3 linked regions of the Rhinolophus ferrumequinum genome follow. The protein of the gene in region 3 purifies or fractionates together with the protein of the main gene of each other region. This does not show direct contact. Links are inferred from orthologs where the notes say so. Each region holds a gene or a part of one and is shown on either strand. Other genes may lie near its edges.

Region 1 (7,499 bases), about 35 Mb from region 3:
GCTTCTCCTAGAAATTAAATCAATTGCCCTTACCCAGATCTACCAGCTGACAAAAGACAGAAGGTGCAAATATTAATATTGATACGAGGTATATGATTTTGGGGTTAGTTCATGACTTCAAAATGCTTTAAACACAAATTTCCTGACCACTGTAGCAAACCCCTAGAAAATAGGCGGCAAATTAAAGAACCTTGAGATGCTTTGCTCTTACCTAAATAGATAAGCATATAAAAAAATGGAGTTAAGGAAAAACGCTTCTTGATATTATCCACAGTAGCAGAGATAAACTGGCTTCAATACTGAACCAACATTGGTGGGTTAACTTTTTTACTGATATAACACACAAAAAATTAAATTAACAGAAAACGAACCATTTTAAAAACGAACAATTCAGTGGCATTTAGTACATTCACAATGTTGTGCCACCACAACCTCTATTTAGTTCCAAAACATTTTCAATCCCCCCGAAAAGGAAACCCTGAACACCTCTAAACGGGCCATAAAGACGTTCCAGTTATTGTTGTTTATTCTCAGGATGGACTGAGGCTTTTCCTTGGAGAGCCATAGCTTAACGGTGTAAAAAAGTGTTTGGTTCCGTATTGCGGATTTAGGGAATCTCAACCGTGTCTCTCCAGTAACAGGAATATATATATTTTACCAGTTCCGTGATTAAAGATCTCTGTAAGATGGGCAGACCTCCCTGTAAAGGCCATGAGGTGGGAGCCCGCTCGTGGCCTTAGAGGAACAGCAAGAGTCCAATATGGCCGGTTGGAGAAGGTGAGGGGGAGGGTAATCAGATCTGAGGAGAAATCAGAGCTGGGGACCAGCCTCACAATCATAAAGCCTTGCAAGCCACTAACAATTTTACCATTTACACTGCAAGAGGTGGGAAGCTGCTAAAATGTTTTGAGGTACAGATGGACATAGATTATGTTTTTGAAAGAATTACTGTGCATGGAAAGAGAAAAATAGTACCTTTACCGTGGAGAAACCGAGCAGATATCACCTTCACTACGTGATCAAGGCTAACGTCACAAACGACGTCATGTGGATACCATGTACCACCTGATACAATGTACACGGTATACATCCAATATGGTTTCATATATATTCTCCAGGAAAATTAAAGCTTAGACCACAAACACTATTTTTGGATGCATACAGTGGTGGAAAAACATTTACCAAAATTAAAAATTCAGGATAACAGTTTCCTGAATTTTCATCTGGGAGGGGCACAGAAGGCTTTCTTAAGGTAACCGTCTGAATCTTAACCCGAGTGGTGAATTCACAAATTTTTGTTTTATTGTTCTTTGTTTTTTTTTTTTTACTTTGAAACAGACTCCGAATAACTGCAAAAGTAATACAAAGACTTCACGGATGCCCGCCATCCAGAAGACCAAATTTAACATTTTACCCATTTGCTCGACCATTGTTTCTTTAAATACAGTTTTATATACCCTATTTTTTCAACCATTTGAGAGTAAGCTGATGATTCTTTACCCCTAAATATTCCGGCATGTTCTTCCTTCAAACAAAGATATTCTCTTTCACAACCACAACACAATTACCAAAAGCCAGAAATTAGCGGTCCTAATATCGAATCTACAGACCTAGTCAAATTTCACCAGTTTTCCCATTAACATCTTTTACAGTAAAGAAGAGAAAATTAATTTTATGAGGAAAAAAAGCCTCATTTTTCAATTATTTATTTTTTCTGCTCCGGGATCCAATCCAGGATCGCACGTTTCATTTAGTTACCATTAACTTGTTAAATCCCATTAATTCCTTCAATCTGGAACAGTTCATCTTTTGTCTTTCACGACCTTGAAATTTTTGAATAGCCGTTTATTCAAAACGGCCGTTTACTTTTATAGAATGTCCATCGATTTGGGCTACGTTAAACGTTTTATACAATTTGCTTAAGGCTTACGTATTTCATAATTTAAAAAAGGAGATACAATTCGGCAAAAAAGAAACTGAACTCAGAAACAGTAGATTTCACGCACTGGTTAGCCATGAAATCAGTAAAAAACAACCCTATTTATCGAGATACTCATTAACATTTTAAAAATAGCGCTTTTTTTTCCCTGAAGACAAAAAAATAACAGTACTAAAACAGAAACCAAATATAACATCGAAGGTCCCTCCCGCGCCAATCACCTGCACTTTCTTCCGACCTGGGAAGGCCTCGTCCGAAAGCAAAAACCTCGCCGCGTCACAAACTTCGCTCACTCGCCGGCGCCATTTTCTGCTTCACTAGCAACACCTCCCCTCTGCCGCAGTCTTTCCTTAGCCTCAGGACACGCCCCTCGGCGCACGTCACGTACTTCGTTACCAGGCGCGAGCCCCGCTCTCCCGCCCACAGCTCGGATTTCGCTCTTCTCCCTGACGTCACCGCCTTGCCTCGTTCTCAGGCTCCGTGGAGCAACCGCCCCCGCCCCCAGATTTACGTGACTCCACGCAAACCACGCCCCCAACCGCCGCCGGACCGCCTCCTTCCCAGGTTCCAAGTTCCTCTACGGAGGACCAGGCCCACCCCCAAGGCCGTTTCTTATCAGGCCCCGCCCCCTACCTCTCCATAACAAACCCCATCTGGTTCTCAGGCTTTAGGCTCCACCCCCGGGCCACGCCTCTTTCCCAGACCAAGCGATCACTCACAGGCACTTCCCCGCCCCTCTGCCCCGCTCGTTCTCCGTCCCACAGGCCACAGGCCACACCCCCGCCCCCACCGAACTGCGGACCTGGGCGCCAAGTTCTCCACCATCACCAACACCCCCACTATCCCTTTAGCCAAGGCTCCGCTTGCAGCCCAGTCTTACCAGCTTTCGCCGGCCCGTAGTGGACGCTCTCGCCCACTCTCGACGTTCTCAATCTGGCGCCGCTGGCTCTCTAGGCCCGGCACCGCTTCGCGCTGTGGCTCTGGGTCCTCGGCCGTAGCCGAAGGATTCGCTGCGACCGCCGCCATCGCCGTTCGTCCTCCTCTTACAGCCCTCGCAGGGGCATAGAGGAGTCCCCCTCAATTGGCACTTCCGGATTCTGGCCCGGAAACGGAAGCGGAGCCCCCCAACTAGCCGGGGGCTCCTACAATCTTGGAAATGGGCACCACGGTGGGACACGTCCAAGCGCTAGGCCGGCATTGGACCGTGGGTGGTGATGTTTCAGACTAATAGGCGGGGTAAAACCTCCAGTTGGGAGCTAAGAGAGACAAAGGTGCCTTGTGGGATCCTAACGCCATGTTGAGTCCCTGCAAATGGTTGTGTGGAGGGTGGAGGCAGAGGTCCCCGAGGTAGACGAGGACATACTGGGGAGTGCTCGAGGACACACAAAGGTACCAGGTCTTTTCGGTTCTCTGCTGGGGACCGCGGGTCCCTACCCTGGGAGCGGCGTTTTTGTTAGCCGGACCAGGATGCCCTTCTTTCAATGCACTACACTTCTCGTCTATCAAAATCCAATGCGAAAGAGGTCACCACCTCCACAGCGCCACCCAGGCCTGCGGACTGCTTCCCTGTCTGAACTAGGTTTGTTCTCTCCATAACCGTGTTGAATGGAAGTCAGCCCCAGGCCCTGTGTATTTATCGGAGTTACAGCAATGATAACTAGTAACAGCCTTAAGTGCTTTATTGCAGTAAATGGTAGCCTTAGGCAGCAGATATCAGTCGCCCATGGGCAACAGTGGAGCAAGCTGAGGACCAGAAATGTTACTTCACTTTGCTCCAGCCAGTAAGTGGCTGAGCTGTGGTTTGAATAAAGGAATTCCAGTTCGAGCTGTGACCTTAAACACCAGGCTGGAGATACTTAAACTGTGTTCCTAGGCTTCAATCCGTTCAGGAGGCCCTTTAGGGGGTTCACAAAGTCAAAAATAGTTTCATAATACTTTTTTTATTGTCATTCTCTCTTGCACGTGTGGTGGAAGTTTTCAGAGGCTTTGTGACAAAAGCAAAAGCTTTCTGGCTGTCCTCAACTTTAAAGAATATAAAAGGCTTGAGACCAAAAGTTTCAGAACCGTTACACTAGGCCAGGGTTTCTCAATCTCCGCACTGTTGGCATTTCTGTTTTGGGAAGTAGTGCAGGATGTTGCACTGCATCCCTGGCCTCTTCCCACTATACATACCGTTAGCGCCTCCCAGTTGGGACAACCAAAAGTGTCTCCAGACATTGCCAAAAGTCCCCTGGGGGCAGGGCAGGATTATCTCCGATTCAGAATCATTGCACTAGGTTATGCCATTCTTTTCTCTGCTAGGGCTCCCCACCCTCCCTATTGGTGATAACAGTAGTATCTCCCTCTGGTTCCCTGCATCTACATACTTGTATTTTGGTTATCCCCATCTGACCATCCCACAAACTCCCCAGGACAGGCTCACGATCCTGGGTCTGTTTCAGTGACTTCTTTCACTTCACCACCCCGTCCCACAGGCAAGAACACACCTCGCCTCTCCACACCTCTAGGCCCATGCATGCACACAGGTCCCTGGGCCTGGAGTGTCCAGAATACCTTCTCTGTGCACAATTTCAACCCGCCCCACATACACGATCTCATAATTTACCTCTGTGGGGCAGGGGTTGTCTTTATTACTGATTCCAGACCCCAGCCCAGACCTGGCACGGATGAGGGTAACAACTCAGCTGCATAATCTCTGAGGAAGAAAAGGGAGCAGCCCTTTCACCTGGGGGTCCCCATAGCGGCATTCAGGTTGGGTTTGGCACATAGCACATTGCTCATTGCTTTTCAAGCCCAGCTGCTCTCCCATTGCCCCTCTGCAGACTCCTCCTCCCCATTTACCTGGGTGGCCAGTCCTTCCTACAGTCCAAAAGGTTTCCCTCCCCAGGGCTGGACTCATTCTCTGCACCTTCCAGAAGCCCACCTCTGCCCACACCGGTGACCCTACCACTTCCCAGAGCAGTTGTGTGAATTCTAGCCTTTCTAAGGCTGGCCTGGCAATCTTGTCCCCCTTTGCAAGGTCTTCATTTTTCCAGCCTCCCTTGCTCCAGGAAGGGGGACAACTTCCTTATCTTGTTCTAGCCAAGAGATGGCACAGGAAGTTGCAGCCCTATTTGTTACAAGGAAACAGACAGGGAGGGAGGGTGCCCTGTTTTGCCTGCTTGCTTTCCCACCTCTGGGGCCATGACAGCCATCACGGAACCGTGAGGCTGCAAGCTGAGATATAACCAAAGTGCATACAGGAACACAGTGTAATGATTAGAGGCCCTTGGGCCCCTGCCGCTGGATTTCCGTAACCAGCATAGTTAGACTTGCTATTACCTGCACTGTTTACCTGGCCTTGCCCACCCCATCTCTTCTGCTTGGAAGTCGATTCTTGGCTTTGCCCAAAACGGTGGGACAGGGGCTAGAACTCTCAGGACAAAGAGAATGAAAGCCTCGGCTACCCTCACACTTTAGGCAAAGTCCCAGGTTGTGCCATTCGACCTGTGGCCTCTCACAAATGACTGCATCCTTCCCAGGGTTATCTCACCCACGTCTCACCGTGGTTTTCATTACTTCCTAGACACTAATGATCCAAACTTCAAGTTCCATTGATGGACTCACTCCTGATTTTAATCCATGTATTATAGGATTCCCCTACCCCCTCAGTGGTCCAAAATCCATCCTCTTCTCATATTCCTTCTCCAACTGGCCTGCCTTATGGTGTCCCAGTGAGACACGTGGTGGTCATACTGGGCCTTGCTGCCTCATCTCCCCACCTCCTGGTTTTGTGGGCCTTTCATGTATTTTCCAAACAGCCTCCCTACACCTTCCCGTCTCTACCCTCTAGCTGGCTTCCTCATATTCTTGGGTAAATCCAACTCCTCTGTCTGCTTGATTCTTAGCCCATCCTCTATCCAGCCTGCCTTACCTGCTTCAGTGTTCCACCGGTGTGTGTGCAAACCCTGATGCTTTTTTCATAGCTGTGACGTGTCCCTGGCCCACTCCCCGTGTTCTCCTACACTACGGGGACCAGGTATGAATTCACCGTGGTCCCAGCACTCACCCTGGGTCAAGCCCACCCTCACCCCTGTAGGGATTTTCAATCACGTTTTTCACTTTAGACTTTTTAATATTTCATACAGCGATTATGGTGCATTCAGGAACCCAACCCCCCAAACCCCACTAGGAGGGCACCCACCCCTGCCCTCCCACCCCATTTGAGGGACCCAGGGTTTAGAGTGGAGGAAGGGGAGGTAACCACCCATCTGGGACTGACCCCAGAGACTGTCCCTGCCCTGCCTCACCCTCCCCAGGGGTTAGGGGCTAACGCCTGGGCACAACCCCCCCTTTTGCCCCCCTGTCCCTGCCTGTGCACATATACACTATGGCTCCTCACTGAGTTGGTCAGTTCCCGGCAGGGCCCCTACTCAACAGCACCGAGTGGGATGGGAGCAGGAGGGCTGGGCTAGGGAGACCCTGAGAAGGAAAGAGACCCCAGCTGTGGGACTGCAAGAGGGAAAGAGTGGGGGCCCCCACCTTGTCCATCTCCCAGAGTCTCCAGTAGGGCCCAGGTACCCCTGTGGCTGGGGATGGCCGGCGGGGGTCGGAAGGCGAGTAGTTGAGGCATGCTTTCCCTTAGCCGACCCCAGGGTCTGGTGATGGTCAGGGTTTTGAATAGGGGCTGTGTCCCTGCCTTGGAAAGGCTGGGAGTGGGGCTTCATTGCACAAAATACTGTGGAAGGGCCACACGCAGGGGGTGGGGCCCAGCCAGTCTGTATACAGAGATATTGCATTTAAAAAATGAAAACCTCATTTAAAATAATTAAAAAACAATGAATGAAACAAACAAACAAACAAACAAACGGCCCACAAAACATGAGGCAGGTGGGGCAGGCAGGAAAGCAGGCAGGGACAGTCTCAGACCCAAGGCATCGCCACACCTTGTCTGAGTCGAGAACCCCTGCCTGGGCTAGCTCTGGCCCCCTGGCTAGCCAAGGGGTAGTGAGTGGTCCTGGGGGAGGGCATGATGAGGAGGGGTACAGGCCTGGCCTCAATGTGGGAGGCTGGCACGGCCATGCTGTCCGCCGGCAACTACTGAGACAGAGAGAAAGAGACAAACAGACCAGGCGAAGGAGCATTGAGAGCTTTGTTAGCACCCAGCAGACAGGCCAATGGGTGGGTTGACAGGCCAATGATCGGGTGTTTGGACAGGCAGCAGGGGACATGTGGGCAGGTGAGCATGAGTCAGGCAGGTGGCAAGCAGGGAGGATGCAGTTGGGGGCTGCCCTGTGAGGGGTATGGCATCCCTCCAGCTGCTGCCTGCTGGGGCCTGGGTCTGTGGCTTAGAACTCGGCTTAGAACTCGGTGTCCACCACACGGAAAGCTGGCCTGCCTGTGGGCAAAAGCAGAGCGGATGGCTGTTGGTGGACAAGCAGGTAGGTGGATGGGGCAGGGAAGAGGGTAAGAGCCACACCTACCTGAGTCAGGCATCGACGAAGAGCGAAGGCTGGCCTCCTTTTGTAGCTGGATCTCCTTTAGTGCAAATATGGAAGTAGCTGTGGGTGGAGGAGAGACA
Region 2 (7,796 bases), on a different chromosome or scaffold from region 3:
AATGCAATACATAGATGATAGATTATAGAATTGTACACTTGAAATCTATATAATTTTACTAACCAATGTAACCCCAATAAATAAAAATTTTTTTAAAATTGTTCTTGAATTAAAATTCCATGTCAGGCACCTTAGTTCAGTGGAAAAGACATACACACAGCAAAACCTAGATTCAAATCCTCCCTCCATCACTTAGTAGCTCATTATGCAAGTTTAGACAAGACTCCTTTTCCTAAATCCATTTACTCATTCTGAAAAATGAAGATCATGCCACCATCTCAAAGGCTGGGGGTGGGTGGGGAGATATGGAGATCAAAAAGAATACACATATAGGACCTCCCAGATTGCCTTCCTAACCCGATGGTCCTCAATCGCTGTTGAAGAAGAGAACACACAGTCTTCTCATCATCTGCCAAAGAACTAAAGAGTGTACAGCTTAAATCAAATCTTGTTCCCATTCAAATCAGGTAAGAACAAATGTACTAGAGAACACTGTATTTGCCAGGTGAAATAAACCACAACTATGATTGAAATCTACTACACAAAGCCCATTTTATGGAGAAAGATTATTAGCCTGAAGCAAATAGGTTGGCCATCTCTGCACCACGCTACATTCTTTCTATAACATCAAAACCTGGTTTACTGGGAGTGAAACGGAGAAAAAACCAAACTTTACAGTGTATGACAAGAGCCCTTTGTGGCACAGCCCTTGATCAGGGAGCATGATGATTAAGAGGGTGGGCTCAGAAGTCAAAACTTCCTGGGTTAGAACACAGCCTATGCCAATTCCTAGGTATGTGACCTTCGGCAAGATACTTAATCTCCCCCCTCCAACCCTAGGATTTTTATCTGTAAAAAGGAGCAATGTTAGTACTACTTCCGAAGAACTGCTATAAGGATTAAATAAAATCATGGCTGTGAAGTGGTCAGCAGGATTTGTGGCACATGGTTAAATGCTCAATGGGTTACTCCTTTTTTTCAACATGAAGACAAGGCACACTGGAAGCTTTAAAAATATATAACCACACGTCCTTTCCCCAAAACCCTTTGCAGAGTAATACTGGTTTAGGCATGCATGGTCACCTTGAAAGTATTCAAATGAATCGTTTCAGAAATTAACACATATTTAACTGCCAATGCTAAAAGTTGCTTCCCTTATTTGAGTATAGTTTTCAAAAAAAGAAAAAAGCAAAGATAATGAATGACCAAGACACTGAAACACATCCATTACCCTGGGTAGAAATCTCTTCTGTCCTGACAAGCTTCCTTCAGGTTATCATCACTTCGGAGTCTTTGTTAGGGACCTTTTTCAGTTATTTTTGCACAAAGGAGTCTTTGTTGGTACAATGGCTTCCTCACTGGTGTTCCCAGACAATCTTTTCACACCAACACTTCTATTAGGGAGTACAATCAGAATTCATCTCTTTTTGAAAAGATGTAACTGGAAAAATCCCTGGCCGCACTTGTTCTCGTTTCTCTCCCTCTCTCTAAACACCCAAGTGGAATATTTCCAAGTCAAACCTCCAACACACCACAGAAGGGGCAGCTAGCTCCACCCCATCCCTCCATATATGGTCCTATCCCACACCCACCCACAGATGCATCTTACACAACCAGGAACCCACTCCTGCCCTGATCCACCATATATGGACAAATACCCACCCTAATGTGCATAATACAACCAAGCTCCTCCTCCTACACGCACACATCATTTCTAACAGGACTGAAAGTTCATGAAGTTGGGTGAAGAAATTAAGAGGAACAAACATAAAAGCCAACTGAAGCACTTCCAAGCACTAGCCCTCAATTCTTAATGATTCCAAACGTCACTCACTTGCCCAGCTTAATAGTAACAACGATACTCCCCCTCCGGAGAAATCGTCACACAGTCCTAATGGGGCACAGCGCCGGCAATACCGAAACATGTCTGAACAACCCTAAGCCCATTTGCAGACCCAGGCAACTCTACGCCAGACATACCTCGGCTCTACACAACCCTTTCACAAACTTTTAAGGTCTAGTTTTCTGCACCTTCAGGTCAGATGCCAACTTTCTTTCCGATCGTCCTTTTCACAAAAGGGGAGGAGGGTGCTAGCTGTCTTGGGATCAAGGTAAGTACGAAACGTCCTACCGCCGAGGCCTCCGTGCCGGTTTTACCTTCAGATCCTTCTTGGTAACGTCCGTGTGGGAGACGGCTCGAATGGTCCCGGAGAGCCAGGGCCACTCGGCAACGCGCTCCGCGTCCCAGCCGTCGTGGCCGCCGTCGCTGCGGTCGGCTGCGGACAGACTAAGGAATCGTTTCCCCACCAGTACCGGCCAACTTTCTCCGAGCGTAAGCACCATGGTTTCCACGCCTGCAGGAAGGGCTCCTCCCTGCCAAAACACAAAACCAAAATGCAATGGGGGCGGCAGGTGGTGGGGGGCCGGGGAGAGGGCGGTCGATGGGAGGCGGGTGCAGAAGGAAGGGTCCTACCCACGCGCGGAGGACAAGACCCCGGGCGGCGGCGGGTGCGAAGGAGGACCCTCACCCGACCTCTCCAACCGCACCCTCCCCGCGCCCCGATCCCTCCCCCACTGCAAACACGGGCCCAAGCGTCGCGTGACCCTCGCTCTCCCAAGTTTCGCTTTTCCAAAACCGTAAACCTACATACAGAGAGAGTGAGGGGAGAATGACTGGCGGCTTAAGTGGATTTTAAAGTGTTCGGAACCCCTCACCCCTGAAAGGAAAAGGCCCCGATGCAGAGAGCCCGTCCCAGGCGGCCGGGTCCCCCACGGTTCCGCACTTGCCCCGCCCCGACACCCCGCTTCCCGGCCGCCGATGCCCGGCCGCCCCTCGCCGCCGTCTGCGGCGCGGGGGATGCGGGTTCGGCTCCTTCACCTTTCTTCCTCGTCTCCCCGGAGCCGAGGCCGCGACGCTCTTACCCCGCCTCCCTGAGTCACCCGCGGCCGCCGCCGACTCCAGCCGCCCAGCCGACTCAGGCTCTGACTTGGTTCAAGAGCTCTCACAAGACACGCACTGCCTCCCGGGCCCGCCCCCTCGGAGCCGCTTCCGTCGTTCATTGGCTGAGTCCAAGAAGTTGAGTAAGGCTCGTGGGGAAATAGCCCATCGCAATTGGCCGGCCTGCCCAGGGCGGGGCGAGAGAAAAAAACAATTCCTTAGCTGCCTCCTCCCTTTGCCCTCCCCCTTCCGACTCCCGGACGACCCCCATTAGGTTAAACTACACCGAACGTAAGCGAAAGATCCCTCCGCCACAGCCATTCTTTACGTTTATTGCCTCACGGTATGCAAAAAAGTCCAGCGAAATCGGTTCTCAACTTTAGGGCCCAGAGGACAATTGCAGTGGTGCACAGATAGGACTGAATGACGAACCCCGGGGCTGTAAGAGCCTATTAGATTGCTCCTCAAGGGCATAGCCTGTCGACCGAAGAAGGGCTTTCCACTTGGCGGAAGAATCTCACAGGAAAGGGGTGAAGGCGGTGCAGAGTCTGCGGGGGAGGAAAGGGACAAGAACGTGCGGTTTCAGGCGTACTCAACTAGAGGGAGGAGCGACAGTGCTCTGCGGGCTCGTGCGCAGGCGCTTCGCGGACCTGAGGCAGGATCTTGGGCTGCCGGGCGAAATGGCCGCGGGAGGCGCAGGCGCACGTGGTGCTGATCATGGAACGTCTAAAGTCCGCCATTTTGTAGGAAAAATGAAGAAAGGCATGGAGTGACGTTCATTAAATCTAGAGAGGCCACTCAGTACAATGCAGAATGGGATTTTTTTTTATATATGCAAAGGGAGGATGAGAAGATATTCTGAGACTAACAAAGAAATTAAAAGACTAAATGAAGGCCATAATGATGCCACAGATACGAAAGAGGCTGTGACTTTGAAGGACAAAGGAGATGAGATGATTGTGTGATTTGGACCTGAAGTTTATTGGTTGAAGGAAGAAGAAATGGAATGAAGGAATTGAAGACCTCTTACTTTATAAAATCTGGTACTTGATATGGCATCATATTTAATCCTTAAAATAATGAGTGAAGAACTTGTGCTCCCAATTATACAAGTGTGCGAACTGGGAATCAGAGAAAGTTTAGAAATGAATTCAAAGGATTATAGATGCAAGTTAACTCCAGGTATTGTTTGTGAACATATGTTCTAAATAGTTGATACTAATTTTTTTAAATTGAGTATAAACCCTGTAGAATTAAATTTGATTTATAATTTGTAGACCATTAAAAATGAGGAAATGGAACAATGAAAACCTATCCGGTTCAACAAAAGTCAAAAATGAAAACAGAAGCAAACACTTGATGGAAATATGGTAAATAGAAAAAAATTAAATGAGAGGAATAAGTCCACATATGAGTATTTACAATAAATATAAATGGATTAATTTTACTCATAAGTTAAAAAGACACAATGGATTAAAAACAAACTCCAGCTACAAACTGCCTACAAGCAAACTCCAATGACAGCAAAGGAAACTTGAAAATATTGGGGTAAAATATTTTCTAATCAAATTGAAGGAAAGCAATATTAACAAAATTAATAAAGTGATATTAACATAATTGAAAGTAAAAGCATCAAAAGAGAAAAGCATCTTATATTAAAAAAAGATAAAGTTCGCAAAGATAATATATACTTTTGAACTATTATGACTCTGAAGACATAGCTTACCTAGCTGAAGCTAAGACTAAACTGTTAAATCTATAAGGAAATTTTGACTATTTGTAGTCAAAGTAGAATATATAAATATATCTATCCCATAAATAGGCACCTCAGATAGATTTTTTAAAATAAGTGAGGGTATGGAGGACTTAGATTACTACTAATAAACTACTAATTTGAGAAACAGTTGCTAGGGACAAGTTCTACCAAATTTTAAAGAACATGTAACTCCTATGTTATATTCATGGTTCCAGAACTTAGGAAAGATGTAAAGAGATCCAATGCATTTTATAAAGCTTGCAAAACCCTGTTATCAAATCTGAACCAGGAGAATACAAGAAAGGACAACTATTGTTAAGTCATTCTTATGAATTATAGATGGAAAATTCTTATATAAAATATCAGCAAATTAAATCCCACAGTATATTTTAAAAATAACCAACACGATTAATTAGGTTTATCATATGAATACAAGGATATTCAAGATTAGAAAATTACTACAATTCACCACAACTGGTTTAAAGAAAAATCATATGTTCGTATTAGTAGGGGCTAAAAAGAACATGCATTCACATTGAAGAATGAACTACCTAGAAAACTAGGATTATTAAGAGCACACGTATATTCAATACCTATTCATTATTTTAAAAAATAATTTAAGCTTTCTAGAAACCCAGGAATATATGGTATCTACCCTAGAAAAACACCTATACATACCACTGGGAGCTATTAATAAGATTGTTCATTTCAGCATTGTTTATGGTTGTGAAAAAATGGAAACAATCTAAATGTACTTCAACTGGGGAATAAATAAATGGAATGTAGTATAATGGAAAGAAGTAGAGCATTTGAAAAGGAATGAAATATATATGAGTATCAATAAGGATAGATTAGCAAAACACATTTTGAATAAAAATGAAAGTTATATTTGGTACTATTTAAAAATGCACATATAAAAACAACACTATATATGTTCTGTGAAATATATATATTAAAAGTCATAGTGATGGTTAGTGGTATTGATGGGTTCACACTAGAATTGGGGGTATTGGTCAATAAGCATTATTTGCAATTCATTTTTATAAGGCAAATGTATTTGTGTTGCTATTGGAATTTAAAGTTAATTTTAAAATCCTGTGAATGGAATTGACCACACGAACATTCAAGAGCATTCATGACAATTAGAACTAACATAAGAATCAAGAGGGTGGTGCAATAAAAGATCAACAAACAAAAATCAAAAGAATTCCTATTCCATAACAAACATCAATTAGAACATATAATAGAAAAAAGAAACCATTTATAATAATGAAAACTACAGAATACCTAAGAAAAAGACATAACATGAAAAGAACAAAACCTATCTCGAGAAAACTATAAGAATTTTCTGACATGTAATAAAAAAGATTTTAAAAACTTCCTCTATTTATATGATTTGTTATAGTAAAGATGTCATTCCTCCTCAAATTAAACTATAATTTCAATGAATGAATCAAAATAGAAATATATAGTTAAAATAATAAAAAAACAGACCCATGTATTTATGAAAATTAGTTTATGATTAACACACCATTTCAAATAAGTGTAAATAATAAATTATTCAATATATGCTATGAGGTCTATTGGTTACCCATTAGGGAAAATGTGACACAGATCCCTACATCAACATTCAGAAAAATAAGTTCCAGGTGGATCAAAGAGCTAAATATAAAAAAATCTAGTAAAATATTTTAAGATTCCTTCCCCTTTCCTTCCTCCTTCTCTTTCACTTCCTCTTCCTGAACACTTCAATCCTAAAGCCATTAGGAGTGCCGAGCAAAGTAGGTTTTCATAAGGAGAGGCTGCCTGGCATGGAATGTTTGAGCTCAAAAAAGTAAGGAGTACTAGCCTGGCATGGGGAGTCAGAATCCAAGCCCCCTCGTTGTGGCCTAGTGGTATCCAAAGCTTTCTTTTAACAGAACTTGGGATCTGAGTGCCTGGAAGAGTTGTCTTCCTTCTCTTGACCTACCCACAGATGTCAGCAGGTCCCACTGCATTTTAGGAGTCTCTCTGAGCTCTCCTGCCCATCACCCAAGCAGTAGATAGCTGCTGTCTGATACTCTGTGTAAGGCCTGGAGTGTTTGTGAGGTTTCTTCATAAGGACTCCCTCTCAGCTTACCCGTCTCTCCTCCAGGGACAGATAACTGCTCCCTCATACTCAGTGTAAGGCCCAGTGCGCTTCTGGAGAAGCACTTGCTTCTCTTGCTTCATCCTCAGACTTCAACAGGCCTGGTGTATCGGTGCCTCAGGTGTCTCTCTCAGATGTCCTGCCCTACCCTTTCTTGTGAGCACTCAGTGAAAAAGATCTATAGAAAAGAGTTGGCAGTTTGGTTCAGACTCCCCTGTGTCTTCAAATCCAGGAATTTAAACTGTCATTCCAAACCACATCCTGCCTTTAAAATTATATTAAAAACTCAGCTGTTTTCTTTTTGCCTACATCTATGGATGCTTTCTTCTGGTCTTCCTGCTGATCTACCAAGAATGAACTCAAGCATGGGTCCCTTCTCTCATAAAACTTGGTCATTTCTTGGAGTTTCATTCATTAGGTTTCTTTGAGAGCTTCTAATGGACTTAAAATAAGTATGATTCTATAGATTACCCAGCTCATTCTCATCATCACAGTGAGAACAACATTTCCTTGAAGCTTTCTATATCCAAAGTAGAAACAAAAGTCAACTTGGTTTGCTTTGATTACTCCATTGATAACAGCTGGGCTGACTGTGATCCACTGTTTGAAACTTTTGGCCCTTAGAGACCATGACTCCTGATGAACTTGCCTTTGACTCAGCCTTGACCTCACTCTTTGTGTTCCCTGGATCTGAAGTAGGCTTTCCTACCTTCTCATTCTAATTATGCTTGGGTTTTTTCATCCCGTTTTATTTTTATTTGACTCTAGTTCCTAACACACAGCAATTGCTCAATAAATATTGAGCTAACCTTGGGCAGTTTGAATCTATTGCTTTTATGTTCATTTTTGATTCCCCTGACTTGTATATTCTGAACAAACTTCATTCTTTATGTAGTCCTTCCCAGATGACCTGAATCCTTGCTTTTTTCTCTCTTATTTCCAGGATCCATTTTCAGCACAGTGAACATGACCAA
Region 3 (7,552 bases):
AGGTAGAAGGCTCCCAGGCTTCTGGAGCCCTCTGGCGAGTGACAGCCCAAGTCCTGCGCAGCCCAGAGCCTGGTGCTGCCTCCCCTCAACACAAATTAGACCTGCCTTCCCTGTCCCTGCGTGTTTCCCAGCAGCCTGATTTTTTGCTACCCCACCTTTCCTCAGAGCCCTTTTCTTATTTCTCTGGGCATGTACAAGTGTCTCTCTCTCTCTCTCTCTCTCTCTCTCTCTCTCTGCCCAGGCAGGATGAGACCAGAAGCAGAAAAGAGAAGGCTGTAGTCACTGCATTTCCCACCTGGCTATTTCCCATGGGGCTGGGGAGCCACAGGCTGGACAGGGCCTGCTGCAGCCCACAGCAGCAAGTCTTGAGGCCAAAGTACTGCCATGGGTGTCATTAGGAAAGAACGCAGAGGCAGCAGCAGTAGGGGGAACTGGGCTGGAGAGGGCAGAATTCCTCAACTCCAAGCAGATAAGCCCTGCACAGTAAAATGAGAGAGACCTCGGTGGAGTTTGTGCTGTAGAAGGGCTTTGAGGGAGGGGGTGCTCTGGCACTGCCACAGAAGTGCAGCCTCACCAGGGTACAGAAATCCCTGAACCAGAAACCCACCCTGGGTTTCCTTAGATCCCTCAGAGAAAGGCCACGCCCCTGGAGACTACTGTCATGGGAGCAGCTGCCAGGGGCTGACTGCCCTCCCCCTTGCAGGCATGGCTGCTCTGCCCACCTTCAGCTCCTGCGACATGAAAAGGCCTGTGCTGCACATAAACATGTCTGGAGCCCACTGCCCAGGAGCGGTTTTACAAACTGCTTAAAGGTTCAATCTCTCATGTCATACTGCAGGGTTTAAATCCCATCTCAGCTGCTTACTAGCTCATGTGTTTCCATGGAAACAATCTGCAACCTCCTAGAGCCTTAGCTATCTCACCTGTTAAACAGAGGTACTTAGACTTAAACCTTCACTACCGTGTTTTCCCGAAAATAAGACCTAGCCAGACCATCAGCTCTGATGTGTCTTTTGGAACAAAAATTGATATAAGACCCGGTATTATATTATATTACCCAGTCTTATAGTAACATAAGACCGGGTCTTATATTAAGTTTTGCTCCAAAAGACACATCAGAGCTGATGGTCCAGCTAGGTCTTATTTTTGGGGAAACACGGAAGCAGTAGTGAGCTCAGCAACATGTCCTCCCGGGACCCTAAATCAGCACTATCAAATCAAATTCATCAGAAGGATTATTTCACAGCCCCACACCCCGACCAGACACAAACACGTAGCTGATCACATTCCTTTGTAACAAATGGTTGTCACCATGGCAGAACCACCTTCACCTATTCCTTCTTAAAGAGCCCTCTCTCTCAAGGGAACCCCAAATCAGCTACTGTCAGGCAGAGACTTAGAGCCAATATATGAAGACACTGTGTCCCTTCCTCCTTTCCTGGTTCTAATTCCTCCTATCTCCCTTGCTGAGCCCATCACGCTTACCAAGTTCTCACGAGGGTTAATTTGTACTGGCTTGGGAGCCTTCAGGGGCAACTGTGTCTTCTATCAGCAGCACTAGCAAGTAATCCCACCCTGAGAAGTCACACTGAGAGAGGAAAGGAAGAGAAACTGGCCGAGTAGGGTACACTCCTGGCTGCCACAGAGAAAAGGAATTTTTTCATTTGGAGTCAGAGCTCCTTGCCGATCGCTCCTAGATCTTTGCTGAGCTTGTTGAAGTTGCCAGCCTATTTACATAGTACTAATGGTGTGCTTTAAATTAATACTTTGTAGCTAATGTACTGAATGACAAAATCTGGATTCAGAGAATGAGGGAATGAATTGAAGACATTTAACCCAGAAAAACAGAAGCTTCTGTACTTGGGTTAAAACTAAAATGACTTACAGAAGTGCATTAACAGGGATGTATGAAACAGATCTGAGGGTTTCAGTTGACTAACTTAAAGTGGATTCAACTGTATTGTATGGTATCCACAAAAATCTACTATGATCTTAGGATGCATCTATAGATACATAGTGGCTATTCTAGAATGAAGGGTGTGATAAGATCACTCCATTCTACATTAGGCAGAACATTCAGTATTTTCAGAGCCATTTACAAATTCAGGAGTATGTAGGATAGTGAGTGACTTTAAAAAAATATGTCACATCAGAAAGAGGTGAAATAACTGGGGAGGTTCTTGGTAAGAACATAATTGTTTAAGGATTAAATGAGATAGCATACTGAAAGTGTTCAGTGAAATGTCCGGCATAAGTGCTCAATTAATAATAAGAGAATGATAATTAGTAATGTTATTAGCACTGTCATACGACTATTATGATTACTATTATTATAGTTAAGGCTTATAGAGTGCTTTCTATATGCTAGGGACTATTTCAGATCCTTTACATATACTGACTTATTTATTCCTCTTACCCATCCTATGAGGTAAGTACTACTATGTTTCCAATTTTGCAGATGAGGAAGCTGAGTCACAGAAAGGTCAAGTAGATTGCCCAGTGTGTCTCACAGATGGGAAGGGGAAAGAACCAGAACATTAACTCTGGCAGTGTCAGGCTACCAAGGGTAAAAGGCTCTTTCATTCTTTCATACTTGTTTTGTACCACTCCAGAGGGCAGAACCAGGACCAAATATGTACAAACTACTGGGAGGAAGATTTCAGCTCAACAACAACAAGAAACCACTCTGAATGATTAGAACTGCCTGAAATCTCAGTAGGGTGTCTTTTAAGGTAGTGAGTTCTCCATCATGGGATGTAAGGGAAAAAAGAATACAAATGAAGAAATGAAAGAAATGGAGCTCCTCTTGGAAAGAAACCATACAAATGATGAAGTCAACCCTTGGTGCAAAGAATAAGGAAGACATAGTGAAACTTGGTTTAAAAGACATTACTGAAAAATTGAAAAGTTATGGAAAAGATATAAAGGTGAACTGATACCTGTCTTGCTGCTATCTCAGCTCAAAGTAACTTAGATGTTGAATAAAAAGCAACAAAATGGTATATTTCACATATGAATTTGTTTAGAAACTCACTAGACAGCCTGGATTTGAAAGAAGCAATCCCAGGATCCTCACAGATCTGATGGCCACCTACGTTGAAAGTGTAAAATACAGACAGGAGAGGTATAGTCTGCTCTCTGGAAGAAAGGGCATCTGCCTGAGAAAATAGCATCAAGGCTGATGTGAGTAGGTGAGATGCAGGCATGAGGTTGAAGATTATAAAACACCATTAGATCCAAAAATACAGACTTGTAATGACAATTGAGTATGTTACCATGATTTTAATCCTGCTACACAGTATGTGGTCAACAGACTTATTTCACAGTTTAATATGAATGTCGTCTGTGCTGAATCTATCTTTCTGGGTACAGCAGTCCCACGATCCAAATATTTGCTGATTTAATATAAACTTTCTCAACCAGCAACACCAAGCGGTGGCTAGTTAAGGATCTGAGTACCAGCAAAATATCTTACTTCTATTATGAAAAAATGACTGAATAGTATATATACATATATATAATAGTATATGTATAGATAATAGTATATATATTAGTATGTTATATATAATAGTATACACATACATACACACACACACACACACACACACACACACACATATATACTGGGGGGTGCCAAAAAAACGTATACAAGTGGAGACTTTGGTCAATGTTGCTCAAGCGGTAGTTTGCCATAATCAGAAGTATCTGGATGCTGATGGTAACCACTTTGAGCACCTCTTGTAACTGCAGAAGTCAAACGTGACTTGTATTCATCTTTTGTTACCAGTATATATTGAGTATTACAATTTTAGTAGTTTTCCTTTCTTAAAATGTGTCTACATTTTTTTTGGCACCTTCTGTATATAATAATATCACACTCTCCACCAAAAATGCTCCCATTTCACATAGTAAATAAGTTTTCAGACTATTTGTACTTGGACAAAGGTGTATTTTGATTTATGAAATTCAAAGTATTTGGTCTTTTTAGACTTACAAACTTAATTCTTTCTAGCATTCTAGCACTGAATGATTACCAATTTAGACAGGAGCTTCTATTTGTCATATAGGTCTGGGGCTCACAAAAAATAAAACCATGTGGGGGCAGCCGGTTGGCTCAGTTGGTTAGAGCGTGGTGCTCTTAACAACAAGGTTACCGGTTCGATCCCCACACAGGCCAGTGTGAGCTGCACCCTCCACAACTAGATTGAAACAACTACCATGTTTCCCGAAAAATAAGACCTAGCCGGACCATCATCTCTAATGCTGTCTTTCGGAGCAAAAATTAATATAAGAGCCGATCTTATATTATACTATATTATATTATGTTATATTAAAGACCCTGTCTTATATTATAATAAAATAAGACCGGGTCTTATATTAATTTTTGCTCTGAAAGACAGCATTAGAGATGATGGTCCAGCTAGGTCTTATTTTTGGGAAACACAGTACTTGACTTGGAGCTGATGGGTCCTGGGAAAACAAACTTAAAGTAAATAAAAGTTTAAAATAAAATAAAATCATGAAGTCATGGAAAAGTGAAAGCTTATCTCCCATGAAAGTCACAAGAGATGAAAACCATACTGACAGAGCCTAAATGAACACGATGGAGTTATAGACGTGGATTAAAACTGGGAGAGGTGGCATATGATATTGATTCGTTAAAGAGAAATAGTCAACTTCAGCGCAGGATCTGAACTGTAGGGAAAATAATGGGCCTTGATGGCTGATGAAGCCAGAATGAGAGGAAGAGGAAAAGGCAATAACCCCCAGCACTGGACGCTGACCGTCTCGGGTAACCAGGAAAAGGCAAACATAAACAAAGAGCTATGTGACGATGCCTGGAGCGTTGGGGGGTCAGGAAATACTAGCAGGTTCCTGCAGCAAGGCCGCGGGTCAAAGTGGTAACTGGGGATCTGAGCTCCGCGGTGACGCGCGGCTCTCACGTGACCAGGAGCCTATGTCTGCCCAAGTCCCTCTCGTCCTGGTCCTTTTTGCCTGTCCACACACCATCTGTGTATTGCCCTTTGGTCGAAGGGAAAAGCAGAAATAAGTAAGTTCCCTTGGTCCTTTGAAATCGGTGTGAGTGCCGGTGCTGCCCTGTAACCCCTGGGATCGGGATGGCAGAGGCCAGGCCTATCCCTATGCCAGCACCGCGCACGCACTTCGGTGCAGAAAATGGTGGTCTTGGGGGGTGGGGTGGGGTGGGGTGGTGAGTGGGCCACCCCCAGGGGAGAGCTACACTTAGAAATAGTTTCTAAGTAATCCTTCGCTTCCACTTCCCGCCTGAAAAGAAATAACGAGCATTACGGGGTGGGGGTGGGGGCACGGAAGACGAAGCTTGAGATGGGGGGAGACATGGGGGTGAGGGGAGGCATGGGGGGAGCCAGAAGGGGATGGCGCGGGGGCGGCGGCTGGTGTCTAGAAAAGGGGCGTGAGTGTCGGTCAGTCCTTCCCCCTCCCCTCCCCCCGCCCCCTACCCTGTCAGGCGTCTGTCTGCTGGTCTGCAGGTCACAGCGGGGCACCTCCAGGAGAGAACGCTCGGGAGCCAACAGCCTGGAGAGGTCCGGGAAGGGGTGGGCAGGGGACCGAGATGGGGTCCCAGGGAGGACGCCGGTGGGAGCGGAGCAGGCGGCGCCGCCGCCCCGCCCCTACCACTGCGGGAGAGGCCCGGGGCAAGGCCTGCTGGGAAAACGGTGGGCTTTCGGGAAGGAGGGGGCGAGCCGGGCGGGGGCACTAGAGGCGGCCGGGTCCCCGGGACCTGAGCCTCTCGGCTTGTGTAGGTGGGAGGACCTGGGTCCTCAATCAGCAAAAGGCAAGTATTGGAACCCGAGGCCGGGGTTTTGGTCCAACCACCAAGTATGCTGACTCGACTCTGCCTTTCTTGTCTCCTCTGAATTAACTGCTCATGAAGACCATTGCCAACATGGAAAAATCCTGCCAAGCAAATGAAGAACAGCCACAGAGCGCGCCCAAGACGGAGGAGGAGCAACCTCCCGCGGAGCAGTCTTCCGAAGAGCCGAGTCCAGAGGAGCCGTCGTCCGAAGAGCCGAGTCTAGAGGAGCAGTCCTCCGAGGAGCAGTCCTCGGAGGAGGAGTTCTTTCCCGAGGAACTCCTGCCCGAGCTCCTGCCGGAGATGCTGGTGGCGGAGGAGCGCCCCCCTCAGGAGCGCCTTTCTCGGAAGGACCTGTTCGAGGCGCGCCCTCCCATGGAGCAGCCTCCTTGTGGAGTGGGGAAACATAAGCTGGAAGAAGGAAGCTTTAAGGAAAGGCTGGCTCGTTCTCGCCCGCAATTTAGAGGGGACATACACGGTAGAAATTTGAGCAACGAGGAGATGATAAAGGTAGCAGAGGAGATGGAAGAGATGAAAAGAGTACGAAACAAATTGATGATCATGCACTGGAAGGCCAGACGGAACCGTCCTTATCCTATGTAATGTGTCAGGCCTTCGATGCTAGTTGGCCTGATTTAAGTATTGCCACCTGAACTTTGCATTGTCTCGTATCCCTCTGGCCATCTTCTTCATTTTAATTTTTTGTGTGGCTTTATTTAAGGTGTTTCACTTGGGCTTCCACTCCATCCCCCATCTGCAATTCTCTCTCTTCCAATCATGTGTCTCACCTATTTGCATGTCAAGATGGACGTTATATATTGTGAAGTGAAAAGAGCAATTTTTGAAAAGTATATGTAATATCCTGCTTTTGTAAAAAATGTATATTTATATATTAATATGCAAAGAAAAACTGAAAGTATATACTTCAAAGGCTTAACAGTGGCTATCTAAGTGTGATAAGATAATAGATGACTTTTTTGTCTGTTTTCTTTCCATGTTTGCTTTGTTGGAACTTCTCGTTTTTTCAAGACGAACACATTTGTGTTGCAAAAAAAAACCCAATATAATGGGAAAAAATGTAAAGCAATTAAAAAACTGTCTATCAGTTTATAAAGACAATGTGGCACTTAATAAATACTTGTCAGAACTTAAAGTAAATCTCATGTTTCTTCTGAAGCTCTTAGGCAGAAATATAAACCAAGTACTTATATTTAAGGGTCATTCTTTTCCCATTTAAATAGGAATAATACTTGACTTGCAGGGCTGCTGTGGAATCAAATGAGGTAAAGATCGTTTGAGCTGTGTGTTTTTCTCCCCACCTGCAACATGCAGGACCCCAACCCCAATAGAGCCCCTTCAAATCCTGGGGCTGGTACCCAAAGGAGGGCTCACATGCACATGCACTCACAATTCCTGTGAGATTCCAGGTGAGTGCCACATTCTGTTTCTGTCCTGTTATTATCTTCCCTTGGATACTGCCATGTGTGCTGGGCACAGCTGCCCCTTCTCCTGGATCCTGCTTCTTCCACGGCTTCCATCACAGCCAATCCTTTAGTGCAGAGCCTCACCGATTGCTTCCGAGTTCCTGCTGGACCAAAGCTGAACTGTGTCTCCCACAGGTATCTGGTGAATGCCCCTCCTCCAGCTTTCATGTTACACTTATCCAAGTGGATACCATCCCAGTGCTGCCTAAATCTCAATGTCTTAAAGAATTCTTAGCAA

The links.
Region 1: the proteins of TCEAL1 (region 3) and USP11 purify together in Homo sapiens (affinity purification with mass spectrometry; 4 studies listed by BioGRID, counting the BioPlex papers as one, with this or other methods). This does not show direct contact. The link is inferred for Rhinolophus ferrumequinum from reciprocal best matches to the Homo sapiens genes TCEAL1 and USP11.
Region 2: the proteins of TCEAL1 (region 3) and KDM3A purify together in Homo sapiens (affinity purification with mass spectrometry; 3 studies listed by BioGRID and IntAct, counting the BioPlex papers as one, with this or other methods). This does not show direct contact. The link is inferred for Rhinolophus ferrumequinum from reciprocal best matches to the Homo sapiens genes TCEAL1 and KDM3A.

What each region holds. Positions count from the first base shown.
Region 1 is NC_046284.1:86,668,974-86,676,472, forward strand, and holds the start of USP11 (ubiquitin carboxyl-terminal hydrolase 11), read right to left. Parts: upstream 3,014-7,499; 5' UTR 2,966-3,013; coding exon 2,820-2,965; intron 2,311-2,819; exon of another isoform or gene 2,161-2,310; intron 1-2,160. Other genes in the region: CDK16 (cyclin-dependent kinase 16), read right to left, coding at 6,975-7,018, 7,402-7,479.
Region 2 is NC_046296.1:8,022,078-8,029,873, forward strand, and holds the start of KDM3A (lysine-specific demethylase 3A), read right to left. Parts: upstream 3,007-7,796; 5' UTR 2,879-3,006; intron 2,374-2,878; 5' UTR 2,344-2,373; coding exon 2,158-2,343; intron 1-2,157. UniProt on the Homo sapiens protein: Histone demethylase that specifically demethylates 'Lys-9' of histone H3, thereby playing a central role in histone code.
Region 3 is NC_046284.1:51,310,868-51,318,419, reverse strand, and holds TCEAL1 (transcription elongation factor A protein-like 1), read left to right. Parts: upstream 1-4,944; 5' UTR 4,945-5,050; intron 5,051-5,507; exon of another isoform or gene 5,508-5,561; intron 5,562-5,697; exon of another isoform or gene 5,698-5,816; intron 5,817-5,893; 5' UTR 5,894-5,905; coding exon 5,906-6,433; 3' UTR 6,434-6,983; downstream 6,984-7,552.